Lonchura striata: one gene and its partner. The protein of the gene in region 1 purifies or fractionates together with the protein of each later gene. This does not show direct contact. Links are inferred from orthologs where the notes say so. Each region holds a gene or a part of one and is shown on either strand. Other genes may lie near its edges.

The links.
Region 2: the proteins of TSR1 (region 1) and RRP12 purify together in Homo sapiens (affinity purification with mass spectrometry; 3 studies listed by BioGRID and IntAct, counting the BioPlex papers as one, with this or other methods). This does not show direct contact. The link is inferred for Lonchura striata from reciprocal best matches to the Homo sapiens genes TSR1 and RRP12.

Annotation. Positions count from the first base shown.
Region 1 is NC_134622.1:7,226,535-7,234,244, forward strand, and holds the start of TSR1 (pre-rRNA-processing protein TSR1 homolog), read right to left. Parts: upstream 3,001-7,710; 5' UTR 2,979-3,000; coding exon 2,873-2,978; intron 2,803-2,872; coding exon 2,699-2,802; intron 1,529-2,698; coding exon 1,312-1,528; intron 1,232-1,311; coding exon 1,097-1,231; intron 790-1,096; coding exon 362-789; intron 102-361; coding exon 1-101. Other genes in the region: POLDIP2 (polymerase delta-interacting protein 2), read right to left, coding at 5,841-5,955, 7,412-7,491. UniProt on the Homo sapiens protein: Required during maturation of the 40S ribosomal subunit in the nucleolus.
Region 2 is NC_134609.1:18,922,991-18,930,157, reverse strand, and holds the start of RRP12 (RRP12-like protein), read right to left. Parts: upstream 3,012-7,167; 5' UTR 2,981-3,011; coding exon 2,842-2,980; intron 2,026-2,841; coding exon 1,787-2,025; intron 1,687-1,786; coding exon 1,603-1,686; intron 1,375-1,602; coding exon 1,298-1,374; intron 1,130-1,297; coding exon 1,024-1,129; intron 853-1,023; coding exon 736-852; intron 634-735; coding exon 495-633; intron 208-494; coding exon 80-207; intron 1-79. Other genes in the region: PGAM1 (phosphoglycerate mutase 1), read left to right, coding at 3,482-3,623, 3,987-4,261, 4,756-4,936, 5,025-5,194; EXOSC1 (exosome complex component CSL4), read right to left, coding at 6,723-6,880, 6,984-7,068, 7,147-7,167.

The sequences.
Region 1 (7,710 bases):
GGAACCACTTCTGACTGTAGAGACTCCTGCTTGCTTGGATCTGCCTTCATCAGCACCTTGACATCTTCCTCCATCTCAACAGCACCATTTCCAGAGTCATCCTGAAGGGGAAGAGCAGAGTTCCTAGATCTGAACACACCTAACTGAAGCTTGCAGTCAGTCTCAGGTGAAACTCCCTTCATGATGTCATGACATAACCCTCATTACACACTGCAGGCACAAAACCTCAGCCCAGCAGCAGAACACAGATAGAACTCTCCTTCCCCTCTCCTCACCCACATACCCCCAGCTGTATTTTCCCCAATGAAAGTTTAGAAAACTTATGTTCTAAGAGGACTGGCAAAGCTCTCACCCCACACACCTGAACCTCCATGTCCTGGCTCCTCTTCTGTCCTTTAACCACCCGTGGGTTCAAAGAGAGCGGGTCAGGGGGAGCATCCACCTGGCTCAGCTGGAAGTCCCCATGCCCCACGATGTGCACCAGGCTGTTCACGTTGAGGGTCTGTCCCCGGACAAAGCCGGACACCTTCAGGGTGCCCAGCAGGTCGCTGTCCTGGCTGGGCACAAACTCAGCAGCACGGGCCAGCAGGTGAGCGCGGCGGTCCCGGAAAGCCAAGTGCCTCTGCTTCTGGGAGCTGAGGTGCCTCAGGAGCAGCGAGGATTCCTGCTCCGTGTTCAGTGGGAACAGCTTGGCCTCGGGGAAACGCTTCTCAATGGATTTGGAGAGTTTCTTCCTGGCATCTATCCTCTTCTTAGGGGGCAGGTCAGTGCCTCCCGGGACAGCCAGAGCTGCCGAGCAAAGAACAGAGCTCCCATCAGATCCTAAAACTCCTGATGTTCTTTTTACCAAACACAGGCAAACACTTGGATGTCAGCAGCCCAAATGGCCAGATTTGCACCACAGGTACAAAGGGAGTTTGGTTTTAGTGGTGCCCAGCAGAACAAAGAGCAACAGCCATAAACTGAAATGAAAGAACTTCTACCTCAATATAAGAAAAAAGTTCTTTTCACTGAAGGTGACAGAGCCCTGAAATTTAATTACTGTGACACTCATTCCCCATATTAAGCACCCCCAGAAACCCAAAACATTTCTCACCATAACTGGGGAGCCCCTGTGCAAAGAGGCAGGAGAGGCAGTGTTCCCCTGCACTGTCCCATCCATCCACAGGATCCAGGATGAACAGCAGGGAATCAGCAACCTTGGCAAGGTCTAAAACCGCGTGAAGATCCCCTGCACCCAAAACACCTCCATTAGTGGGGCTGCCAGAGGCACCAGAACCAAGAACCCAAGCAACAGCAGTGCCTCCTCACCTGCCTGGGCTGTGACAAAGTGCCAGCGCTGCTTGAGCTGTGGGCAGAGCAGAGCAAAGCCACCAGCTCCGCCCTCATCTGCACGGACAATGGCCGAGCTGAGGCTCTGCAGCAGCCGCAGCGAGTCCTGCACTGCAGCCCGGCTGTGCAGCAGCACCACAACCACCAGGTGCGGGGGGCCATCCCTGCTGCCAAGGCTGCGCTTCTCTGCCAGCACCTGCGGGTGAGGGCAGCGTGTGAATGCCCCAGGGCAGAGTGTGAATGCCCCGGGGCAGGGTGTGGATGCCCGAGGGCAGAGTGTGGATGCCCAAAGGCAGGGTGTGGATGCCCAAAGGCAGGGTGTGGATGCCACAGGGCAGGGTGTGGATGCCCCAGGGCAGAGTGTGGATGCCCCAGGGCACCGTATGGATGCCCCAGGGCAGAGTGTGAATGCCCCAGGGCAGGGTGTGTCGATGCCCCAGGGCAGCGTGTGAATGCCCCAGGGCAGGGTGTGGATGCCCAAAGGCAAGGTGTGGATGCCCCAGGGCATAGTGTGATTGCCCTGGGGCAGAGTGTGAATGCCCCAGGGCAGGGTGTGGATGCCCCGAGGGCAGAGTGTGGATGCCCCAGGGCAGAGTGTGGATGCCCAAAGGCAGGGTGTGGATGCCCAAAGGCAGGGTGTGGATGCCCCAGGGCAGAGTGTGAATGCCCCAGGGCAGCGTGTGGATGCCCCAGGGCAGAGTGTGGATGCCCAAAGGCAGAGTGTGGATGCCCAAAGGCAGGGTGTGGATGCCCAAAGGCAGGGTGTGGATGCCACAGGGCAGGGTGTGGATGCCCCTAGAGCAGAGTGTGGATGCCCCAGGGCAGAGTGTGGATGCCCAAAGGCAGGGTGTGGATGCCCCAGGGCAGAGTGTGAATGCCCCAGGGCAGGGTGTGGATGCCCAAAGGCAGAGTGTGGATGCCCCGAGGGCAGAGTGTGGATGCCTGAGGGCAGAGTGTGAATGCCCCAGGGCAGAGTGTGGATGCCCAAAGGCAGGGTGTGGATGCCCCGGGGCAGGGTGTGTATGCCCCGGGGCAGAGTGTGGATGCCCAAAGGCAGGGTGTGGATGCCCCGGGGCAGGGTGTGTATGCCCCGGGGCAGAGTGTGGATGCCAGCCCGAACGCGCCTCTTCTCCCGCTCCCGACCCAGGCCAGACTTCCCCACACCGCACCCGGTCCGGTAACCCTCCGCTTGGCCCGAACCGGGCCTGGCACCCGCTCGTTTCCTCCGCAAAAACCCAAACCGGTTGGACTGCACGGCCCGCACGCAGAGCCCCACGGCCGCATTCAAGCCCCCTCCGGCACAGACTCGAGCCGACCCGTTTCCCGCTGCCCCGCCACGACCGGCCCGGTTCCGCCGGTGCCTCACCGCCTCCTTGCGCTGCCGGCGGAGCTGCAGCGCCTGATGCCGCCGGTCCACCCTGCTCAGGTCGCGGAGCCGCCGGCGAGGCTGGGCCTTGACGGGGACGCGGCCTGCGGGAAGAGAACGGTAAGGCCGGCGGAGGGGCGGCGGGGAGCCGGCGGGGAGCCCGTGCCGTCTCACCTCCAGCGCGGCGCTGCGAGGAGCCGCTGTGCTTGCCGCCCTTGTGCGCCTTGTTCTGCTGCTTGAGCGGCCCGGGCCGGTGCGCGCCCGCCGCCGCCATCACCATGCTGCCGCCTCGCCGCCGTGCGCCACTTCCGCAGCGACGGGAACCGCGGGATCGCACGTGGGCGGCGAGAGGGAGGGACCGGGAAAGGAACCCCGGGAAAGGAGCCCGGGAGCGGGACCGAGCCCCGGCAAAGGAGCCGGGGACCGGGACCGAGCCCCGGGGCCGGGACCGAGCCCCGGGAAAGAAGCCCGGGACGGGGACTGGGGCAGGGACCGAGCCCCGGGAAAGGAGCCCGGGAGCGGGACCGAGCCCCGGCAAAGGAGCCTGGGACCGGGACCGGGACCGAGCCCCGTCAAAGGAGACCGGGATGGGGACCGGGACCGAGACCCGGGAAAGGAGCCCGGGAACGGGACCGGGACGGAACCCGGGAAAGGGCAAGGGCGAGCCCCGGGACCGAGACCGAGTCCTGGCAAAGGAGACCGGGACCGAGCCCCGTGAAAGGAGCCCGGGAACGGGACCGGGACCGAGCCCCGTGAAAGGAGCCCCGGACCGGGACCGAGCCCCGTGAAAGGAGCCCGGGAACGGGACCGGGACCGAGCCCCGTGAAAGGAGCCCGGAACGGGGACCGGGACCGAGCCCGGGAAAGGAGCCCGGGAACGGGACCGAGCCCCGGGAAAGGAGCCCGGGAACGGGACCGAGCCCCGGGAAAGGAGCCCGAGACGGGGACTGGGACCGACCCCTGGGAAAGGAGCCCCGGGACAGGGACCGGGACCGAGCCCCGGGGAAAGGGCAGGGGCGAGCCCCGAGGCGCGGAGGGTAGAGCCCCGGGGTTGGTGGCCGTAGTGCCGCTGGGCAATGAGAGGCGGGAGGCAGAGCCGTTCGTTCAGCGCTTTATTGGTTGGTTCTTTGTACAGGTATTTACACGGAGAGGGAGACAGGGCTCGGCCGCGCTCCGGGAAGGGCCGGGGGGATGAAGGAGTTGAGGAAAGGCCCTGCCGAGCGTCTGGCATCGCGCCCAGGCGCCAGGACAGGACAAAGCCTGCCGGAGTGGAAACATTCCTCCTGTCCCCGGTCTGTTACCGCGGTGACCTCGGTCTTGCTAATCATTATCCAGGCAGGAATGTCCGTTCCTAGGCAGAGGCCTCAGCCCCCATGGGACATCACCCCAAACCCCAGCAGAGCCTGCCCCGGGATCACTCCATCGCTAGGTTAAACATTCACAGGGGTGTTGCAATCGCCAGGAAAGCTGAAGCAAGCCGAGGGAGAGCCAGGGCAGCTGCATGGGAAGGGAAAAGCAGGTTCCTACAGGTTCCTGCTGCCTCTGAACTTGAGGCATCTTCCCACCTCCTCCTCCTGAGAGGAAATCAGCATGACAGCAGCAATGTCAGGTTGTCAGCTGTGAATGGTCTTTAGGGATCCTTTCCTACCCCTAAAAGCAGACTGGCTGTTTAAACTTTTGAAACTCTAAATATGAGCACTACCTGAGAGGAAGGAAGACACAAAACTGAAGAGTACTGGTGACAGATGAACACTGCAGTGATTGAGTCTCTCTAAACAGGAATCCAGTGGCTGTGGCACAGCATGAGAGTCTCCCCCAAAGGCTGTTTGCCCACAGCACTGCCTCAGCTCTGCCTTGCAGAGCTAAAGGCAAACAGCCTTAGAGGGGGTTCCAGGGAAGAGGGAAAAGCTAGGATACTTCTAAATCAAGGAAAACATCCCGTGAGTTAGTTATACCTTGTCATTTAAGCAAGAGTAGGGAAAGGAGGAAGGCTGGAAACTCTTCCTAGGGTTATCACAAAGCCAAGCACTTCTGCCTTCCAGTCATGCAGAAGTCTGGAAACCCAGAGGCATCAAGAAGGGTTCCACACCATGGGGGCTGATGAGCTTTGCAATTCTCAGTGCTGCTCAGGCTTTCCCACACATCCATACATTGTCATCTTACAGGGATTTCACTGACCTGCACATTCCTGCAGGGCCCTCCAGACACATGCCACCAAAAAATCACAACCTGCCAAGCAGAGCAAGCAGGAACAGAAAGCCAAGCACTGCCTCACAGCATTCCAAGTGAAAACAAGCATCCCTGTTACAGCAGTAACTACCAAGGAAATATTGCTGCAGTCAGTGTGAGCAGGGAATAACCTCCAGCAGCTGAGATGCAAATCCCTGCAGCAAAGCAAGGCCCTGGCAGGGAGAGGGCTCCTCTCAGCTCTCCTGTACCATCACAATACAGAGCCTGGTGCTCTGCACACACAGGATGCTGTGACAGCACCATACATCACCCATGTTGTCCCCTCTGCACCAAAAAGAACAGGCTTTGTATCAGAGCACAAACCCAGACAAGCTGTGCCATGAGTGGAGCTCACAGGCTGCTCCAACTCTATCCGAATCCCAAAAAGCAGCTGCACTGCAGAAAAGCTGAGCTCACATTCCTGTTCCCTATAGAAGGAGCAGCTGCTTCTGAAGCAGCAAGAACTCTGGGCTGACTCCACACAGGGGGAGCAACAAGCTGGGACAGGCTGGATGCAAAGCCAGGGCCTTGGCTTAGGAAGGAAGACTGGTTGCAACTGGAAGGGCCAGTTTATTAGAGAAACCTCACATTGCAGAGAAGTCACAACACATTGGAAAGGTCCAGGCCTGCTGAGGAGGGCCAGTCTTCTGCAGCAGCATAGATCTACATCCCCCAGCCCCAAAAACCCAGCAGGTGCCACAGAGGGAAGGGTTACCTGGAACACAGCTTATGTTTTACAAGCAGCCTGAGAGAAGGGCCAGTAGTAAAGTTCCAAAAAAAATCCTCCCCGGCAGAAAACAGTTACAACAAAAATGGTTTACAATGTTTAAAAGCTCCGTGTTCTTGGCTGCAGCATAAAGGGGAGGCAAAGGTCTACAACACACACAGGCCTCCGTGGCTCTGGGCACTCTGATCTACCAGTGAAGGCCAGAGGGAGGGGTCTTCTCATCTTTGTTGCTTTCCAGGGAAAAGGGTGGGATTCGGACATCAAAGTGGGAGCCATCAGGCCTCTCAAATCGAAAAGTGCCCCTGCAAAAATAATGGCAGAGGTCACACTGAGGCCAGGGACAAACACACCTAAGACACATCAGCAAAAGGGAAAGACCTGAGCTCTTCCACGTCCTGGGGGTCCATCTGCAAGGCTGGTCCAGCAGCAAGGACATGGGCTCAGCTGCAAACATGTGCTGCCAAGATAACTCATTTATGGAGGACTCCTGGGCAGTTTTACAGCACATCCCTAACATATCTCCTGCACAAAGCTGTGATGATTGCAGCCCATAGCAATCATCACATGCACCCAAGCATCCTCCATGCACCTGCAGTGGTGTTTACCCAACTCCCACTCCCCAGGAGACAGAGCCATCTGAGCTATTTTTACAGACTGGTTACATGTAAATTCAGATTTGTGTTTCTTGGCAGGAGCTCCACAGGTTGCCAATGACATTAAGAAGTCCCATCACAGATGTAATTTGGAATAGCTTCAGCTTTGCATTTCAGAACTGAGCCTGCCTGTCCTGGTACAACCATTTGTTTCCTGCTCTGAACTACAGAACACAACGTGGGCAAGAGGGTTGTTGAGATAAATTAACATGTTCTCAGGACAGAGAGGACACAACTGAACACCAGAAGTCAAGCTGAGCAGCTTCTGAGCTGCAGAACCTTTGTCTCTTTGTTGTCAGGATGTATGCAGAGAGGGAAAAACTACTAGACCATCTGGTTTTATTCCCCAGGGCATCCATTCAGGCAATTCAAAACACTTCACATGACAAACAAGGTACACCCTATATACAAAGAGCTGCTCTCCTGTTTTTCCCAACTCAAAGGCAACTTAACTTTGAAGATTTCCTTTAAAAAATGCAGAAGGACCTGTCATATGGAAGGCAAGAGTTTGCTGTGCAATCTTTGTCCACGCAAAGGTGACACAAATGTGCTAACCCAAAAGGCAAATAAAGACAAGCTGCTTTAATCCCAAAGCACAGGGAAAGAACAACTAAGCTGGGCACTTCTCTCCCAGCACTTACAGAAGAAGAAACTTAAACACCAGTTAGACTGGAGTCCTTACCTGGTCTAAACTAGGAAAACCCCTGCATGACCAATTCCTGACACAGATGTGCACAGAGATGGAGTTAAAGCCCAGCCCTCTCTCAAGAGACACCAGAGCACACATCCCTGCTGCTGAGGAATCACCAGTACAAGGCCTTGGCTCTTGCACCAAGGACAAAAGGAAGAATTGCTTAATGTCTCTAAATCCAGTCTACTACAGCAGGAGGATAAATTATCCTGGTGCAGAGAACCAAAAGATCATCTGATCACTAACTAGGATACAGCTAGAGAGAAGCTCATAAAATTTTAGCTACCAGCTATGCCCTGTCCAGTCCACTTCCACCCAGCTTTCAGCCACAACCTCAGGCTGCAATCTGCACCCCAGCTTACTGCTGGGGGGTCCTACACCCAAAACACTGCTGCAACAATAAGGGCTTCTTACCACATGTGACCACTGGATGCCTGCAGGGAGACGTGGCTGCTGTACTGAAATGCTGGCTGTTCTTTGGACAAAACTGGCTCCTGAGAAGACAAAAGACCACTGGGCATCAGCAATTCTACCACAGATAGGCATCAACAGGAAATTTATATAGCATGAGAAAAAAACCAAACAGGGACCTACACCCTAGCACTTCTGCCAATTACACAGCAAACAATTTGTCCACTGAGTAGCACCAGGATCCCATTATTATTCCACTTTTCCAACCACCAGTCATACTCTAATACTCAGTGTGAAGTTTC
Region 2 (7,167 bases), on another chromosome or scaffold:
TGAGATAATTTGATCCCTTTAAGAGCGTAGCCCATGGGAAAGGGTCTGCCCTTGTCCTCCCTGGAGCAAGAACACTCACCACATGGCTGAGGGTCATGACTCGGAGCAAGGTCTCACAGCAGGTCTTCACCACAGCTGCAGGGAAGCAGGGCAGCACATCCCGCAACAGGGCAAGGACATGCAGGGTGGTGGTGGCCTCCTTGGCACCTACAAGAGCAGAGCAACCTCTGAGCCTGTGGGACACTACAGCAAAGCCCCCGTGACAGCAGTGGGGCTGACCCACAGAACTAGGGTGAACACTCCCCTAACTTCTGGGAAAGCACCAGAAGGGCTGAGGAGGCTTCAAAACACCAGAAGTGCCCCAAAGATATCTCATTCCCTCCCCAGCAATCCAGTGTGCTGCAATCTCCCCTCTTCCCTCTAAGTCCTTACTCTCCCACAGTGGCAGAATTCCCCACATGCAGCTACAGACCCCATGCTCCAGTGCCCCACACCTCCAGCTTTTTCAATCTCCTGCACACAGAACTTGGCGGTGGAGGGTGCTGCAGGGTGATGCTCAGGGGCTGCATCACCAAACATGAACTCGCTGCCCCTCAGGACAGAGCACACGCCATACTGCGCTGCTTTCCGCACCTGGGGGAAAAGAACCCAGCTGAGTAGAAACTACAGACCCAGGCGTACAGAAACAAACCCCCAAAGCAGTACCATCTCCTGCCAGAAGCACTGGGCTCTCACCTTGGGCTTGGTATGAACACAAAAGCTCAACAAGCCATGATAGACCTGCAGGGTGACAGGGTAGCTCCAGGCTGCCAAATCTTGCTTCCGTAGCAGTGTGGCCAGGCAAGAGAGGACCTATGACAGGGGAGCAGCAGGGGCATTAGCATCACCCCACAGAGACATCTTCCTTTCCTGCAAGGGCCGCAGGCCAAGCACCCAGCACCACCCTACAGCAGCAGCCTTGACCCCAGCACTCAGCAGACCCCAAGCAGAGCTGACATGGCTGGCTGCCTCTTGGCTACTCACCCATCGCAGGGCAGACGTGGAGCTGCTGCAGGCTTGTGAGGACACAATACTCATGAAGGCTTTTGAGGCATCTGAGAACTTCTTAATAAGAACTGGGCTCGGGACCCTGCCAGAAGGGGACATATCAGTAGGATGAGGAGCAGACAGCTAGTAGCCGTCACAAAGGGGACTGCATCACCAGCTCACCCCAGCTGGATTTCTTTCCCAGCATGGGAAGGTAGGACAGCACCAATCCCTTTTCCATGCTCTCTCTGCTTCTCTGCAAAGTACTCACCGCTTCAGGACAAGGTTAAGCAGGTAGGCAACAGCAGACAGTGATTCAGGGGACTCCACTGCCTCCAGCGTGGTCATCTGAGAACAGAAGGTGGCTAAGCAATGGGGTGGAGGGGGTCACACCACACCAGCCCTTCCCCAACCCCTGGGGAGGGGGAAAAGAAACCAGGAGCAGCCCAACAGCATCTCTGCTGAACAAAGCCACTTGGGCTACAAGCACAGCACCTTTCTCTATCCCTCCTCAGAGCCCACCCATGCTGCCAGCAGCAGCTCCCCCCACGCCTCTTCCACATAACCAGCACTCACCAGCGCAGCAAAGTATTCTGTCTCACTCTCCTTGCCCCCTCGGGAGCGGATCACCTCTGTCACAGCTGCCAGCACGGCACAGATCTGTGAACAGCCAGCAAAACAGCTCAGCATCTTTTAGCCTCGCAGCCAGGGGCCATCCCCACCAGATCCCCCCCTTCCCCAGCCCTGCTCCTGTCCGTACCTCTTTGTGAGCAGCAGAGTTGGATTCCCAGAAGCGCTGCACCTTGCTGAAGGTGATGTTAGTGCAGTCGCTCAGCCCACTCAGAAAGGTGCCAGAGGACTTCTCTGTGGCAGCCTCTTCAGCACTGTCCTCCTCCATACGGAGCTGAGCACTGTCACTCGCCCGCTCCGGACGCAAGGACCCCGACTGCAGCTCATTGTGCAGCTTCACTGCATCCACCGTCAAGTTACTTTTCTCTCCTGGGGTGAGAGATGTGTCAGAACTGTGAAGTCACATTGCTCCACCATTCACCCCGAAATTGCCATATTCCCCTCCCTGCCAGACTGGCGTGGCCGGAGCTCATATCCAGCATGTGGAATACAGGTGCTGCTTTGCCCCAAAGGGCAAAAGCACATTAATAACTGTAAAGACCTCCTCATTCCTGTACAAAAAAACAGAGCACAGTCCAGTCATCTCTGATGGAAGACAGCACCATGCTCACACAAATGTCTGCCGGTGTGCCAAGGCTTTAACACTGAGGTGCTTCTTGTACTCAGCCCTATTTATCTCCTTCCACCTGAAGCCCTAGCAACCAGACAGCCAGGACAGATGCTGTATATTCCTCTGAGTCCCAGACATCAGCCTGCAGCCAACATCTGCATGAGAAAGATTTCCTTGGCCAAGAGCAGCCGGTGTTCTCACAGTGCCTGGCACACTTTGGTTTCCCTCTCCCATCATAAGGCCGGCTAAATGTTAGTTTGTCACGCTCCTCACCACACCAGACACCACAGCAGCACTCAGAAGTATGGCCATGGGTTTTGGGGGACTCGCAGGGCGACAGGAACTGCAGCATGCAGCGGCTCATTCCGCTTCTGAGGCCTGGTATCACTACGAGGTTAACTCCTTACGCCGTGGCCTCGGTCAGCGGCTCCGCTCTCACCGCTGCCCCAGCCGCAGCTCTCGGAGGCTCTCGCCCCACAGCCCTCGGCGCCTCTGCGCCCCTCCGGGAAGCGCTGGGCACAGGACAGGAGCTGCTCGCCCTGGCGCCCTACCGCCCCGCCCGCCCCTGCCCTTACCCGCCGGCCGGCTGCAGAAGCGGCTGCGGGCAGCCAGACGATGCTGGCGGGTCTCGGGGTTGGAGTCGCTGCTGTGGCCCTTCCGCCAACGCTTCAGCTTGGCCGCGGCTCCCGAGCGGAGCCTCCCGCTCCGCGCCATGCTGGGCCCGGCTCCACGTGCGGCCGCGCCCAGCGCCCCCTTTCCGCTTCCGGCGCCGGCCGCCATCTTCAGTGAGGGCAGCCGTCAGGGAAGGCCGAGGGGGCGAGAAGCGGTGTCGGGGAAGCTTAGCGGGGTCGTGCCCAATCGGGGCAGAGATGGGAGACCCGAAGGGCCCCGGGGCAGCCACCAGACATCCCCATGCCCAAGCCGCGGCCCTGTGAAACTCTTCAGACCAAGCCCGCAGCCCGGGGCGAGGAGTCACGTCTTACGTATTACTGCGCACCGTGACGTCACGGTGACGCCACGCCCTGAAGGTCGCACCGCCCTTCGCGGCCGCGCCATGTGGTACGTGCGCCTCCGCCTGGCGTGCGCTCGGCGCATGCGCTTGCCCCGGCGGCGGCGCGCGGGGCGGGGCGGGGCCGAGCGGGGGCGTCAGTCGCGCGCGGCAGCGGCGCGAGCAGCAGCCCCGGTCCCGCCGCGCGCCCGGTCCCGCCGCCCGCCATGGCCGCCGCCTACCGGCTCGTCCTCGTCCGCCACGGCGAGAGCGCCTGGAACCTCGAGAACCGCTTCAGCGGGTGGTACGACGCCGACCTCAGCCCCGCCGGGCAGCAGGAGGCACGGCGCGGTGGCGAGGCCCTCCGAGGTACCGGTGGACGAGGGAGGGGATGCCGGCCAAGAGCGGGGTCGCGGGGGACGGGGGGAAAGGACGCGGCCTAGTGCGGCCCCGTCGAGCCTAACGGGGGCTGGTTCGGGGCTCTCCAGTGCCGGGCGAGGGCCTCCAGTGCCGGGTCGGGGGTTCGGTGCCGCTGGGAGAGCCGTAGGTACCGCAGTATGTTGGTTTTTCGGTACCGGTCGCGTCCTGGCCGCTACCGTTTTCTGTAAAGATGAGGACGCGACCGGTACCGGTGCGGTGAGGCCGCCGCCCTTGCCCTTTCACCGGTTGCATAAGGCCAGGCACTCACCTTCCCGGGCTTCCCCCGCCTCCCCCTCTCCTCGTATATCCTAGATGCCGGCTATGAGTTCGACATCTGCTTCACCTCGGTACAAAAACGGGCGATCCGTACTCTCTGGACCGTCCTGGATGCCATTGATCAGATGTGGCTACCCGTTATCCGGACCTGGCGTTTAAATGAGAGGCACTATGGAGCTCTCACGGGTTTGAACAAGGCTGAGACAGCAGCGAAGCATGGTGAGGCGCAGGTCAAGATCTGGAGGCGCTCCTATGACATCCCTCCACCTCCCATGCAGTCTGACCACCCCTTCTACAGCACTATTGCAAAGGTAAGACCTATTGCTCTTTGATTGCCTTGTTAAGAGTCTCTTAAAAGTCACTTGCACTAAAGCCTGGCTTCCTGTATAAGGTCTTCTGTGTCTCTGTTGCGTTATCTGAGGCTGTTGTGCATGGTGCTGGTAGACTTTAGGCTGAGTTTATCTTGCTTCTTCCGTGTGGAGTTGAACCCCTGGGCATCACACAGCAGAGTCAAAGTGGAGGGCACAGTATCTCTGTTAATCATTAGTGCCATTCATGGATGTGTGATCTGGTTTCTTTGCCCAGAGAGGCAATGTATGACTTTTCCCAGGTGGGCTCATGGCCCTGACTGTGGCCCATTGCAGCCCCAGACTGCAAAGACACTTCTTTGCTTCCAAGCCTGGCTTTGCTTATGTGTAGTGGGGCCTCAGGTAGAGAATCTGGGGGAGAGACAAAATCTTGCTACCATCTTCCCACACTGGATGGGGGGCACTGGGCTGCTGTGTGAGCATGGTCGTTCTCCCAGGATCGCCGCTACGCCGACCTGACAGAGGACCAGCTGCCAACATGCGAGAGCTTGAAGGACACCATTGCCCGGGCTCTGCCTTTTTGGAATGAGGAAATCGTCCCACAGATCAAAGAGGGCAAACGAGTCCTTATTGCTGCTCATGGCAATAGCCTGCGTGGGATTGTCAAGCACCTGGAAGGTAGGTCACCCCTGCATCCCAGGGACCCCTCCTTCCCCATCTGGCACTGTGGGAAGGTCTGAGAGTGACAGCACTGCTGTGTTTGCAGGCATGTCAGAAGAGGCCATCATGGAGCTGAACCTGCCCACTGGCATCCCCATTGTCTACGAACTGGACAAGAACCTGAAACCTGTCAAGCCCATGCAGTTCCTGGGGGATGAGGAGACCGTGCGCAAGGCCATGGAGGCCGTTGCTGCTCAGGGCAAGGCCAAGAAGTGAGGGCAGGCAGCAGACCAGCACGTAGTAGAGCCCCCTGCCATCCCCCACCCCTCTGTTCACACCCCCACAGTTGTAGGAACTCGGAGCTGTGAAGCTGGAGGCACTCCCCTCGGTTAGGCCCGTTCCCTCAGACTAGGCTCCCCTCTGCAGATAGCCTGGGGGCTCCGGGGTGAGGGCTGGACATGGAGGTCTGGTGTGAAAGGGAGCCCTGTCTCTACCAGGCAGCGACCCCACACCTGTCCATGCTGTGATCCCAACCCTCAGACCCTGTCTGCAGAGGGACAGGCCAAGCAATCCCTTACCATGCCAGGCTCTTCCTTTGCTTTGCATCCCTGGCAGCTCTCGTCACCTGTTTACTGTAGTTTTGTCACTTGATTTAGTCCTCCTGGGAGCAGTGTGGCAAGTGCAGTGCCAGCAGTGACCAATGTGGGTACCCCCTCCCCTTGTGGGTGTGTGGCACAGTGACTGGGATGCCGCTGGAAGGGTTGTGTTTTGGTGCACGTGGTGCAGCACCCCAGGGTAGTACTCATGACTCTGGGCCCAGCTCTGCCAGCCCCTGCTTTAACTATACTGCCTTCAGACAAGGGTGAGGGAGGGAGCCTGTTGCCTGGAGGTCTGTGTCTGCAACATGCTTCCCCCAGCTGCTGCCCATCCTCGTCCTGCTGGTGAAGCAGGTGCTGTTGTGTCCCATCCCTCACATGTGTACGTGGCCTGTCACTGTGGCCTCCCCCCTGCCGGTGTCGTGAGCCTGGGCTTGCACAGGGTCAGTGTAACTGTCCAACCATAGCAGCCGTCTTGTTCCAGTTCAATAAAGGAGTAATGCGCAATAAGGAAGTGTCCTTGTGTCTCTGGGCCATGTGGGCTCCCTGCTGCCAGCACGTGCACAAGGCAGCAATCCCTGCTGGGCACAGACAGGAGGGTGCAGAAGCTGTGCCAGGCTCAAGGAGCAAAGCTCAGCTCTGCAATCTCTGCCCAAGAGGGTGACACCCTGCCATGCTCTGGTTTTTGGTCTGTGTGTACCACACCCTTGTTCCATAGGGCAGGGCAAGCATGTGTGGCCTGAGGAGATGAGATACGTCCCCAGGCTATTCTCAGCCACGGCCCACACTGGTTAGTGGTGAGCTGAGACAGGCTCTGCACCAGGCTTGACTCCTGTGTGGGGAAACCAACCTGGTGAGGAGTGCCCAACACAGCTGCAGCCTGGGGCTCTGTGCTGTTGGCGTCACTGCAGCAAAGTCACTCCATCACTCCCCTTCACCAGCAGTGAAAATGTGCTTCCTTCTGCCCCTGCTGCTGTGGAAGCTGTTCCCTCACCTGCTGTGCTGTGGGAGCCAGACCAGAGTGCATGGATAGCCCTGGCTCCCCCACTTACTGTAAAGAACGAAGCAGGAAGCTCTCAAAAAAAATTTATTATCCACAAGTAGCAAACCCATCCTGCCAGTGGAGGCCTGGCTGAACCTGTGAAGGAGGTGGGAGCCCAGGGGCTGCTCTGGCTCCACAGCCACAGTGCTGCAGCCCCCTGCCCCCCTCAGCTGTTACGTCTGCAGGAACTGGGGCTGCACCCGGGCCACCTTACGGAACTCCTTGGTGTGTGTCCGTGGGCACTGCATCTCACACCAGCTGATGGGCACCATCTGCACCCCTGGGCACGTAATGTCAGACTTGCTCTTTCCCAAAGTTGCATTCCTCCATATGGAGAGGGAGGCAGCTGCATCAGCTGCCCCCAAGGCAGGAATGAGGCAGAACTGTTTCAGCCCAGTCCCTGTCTCTGTCCCTGTCCTGCCCTTACCTGCCTCGCTGCGTGCCACCACCACACCCAGCTCGTTCTCTGCTGTGCTCAGCAGGTAGTTGGACTGTGCATCCCCCAGGGAGATCTGGTTGGACAGGGGTTAAGGGACACACTTCCACAAGGGAGCTTGAGCCAACACGGTGTCCCTGAGGAGGAAGGATACAACTTTGGCCAGGACGATGTC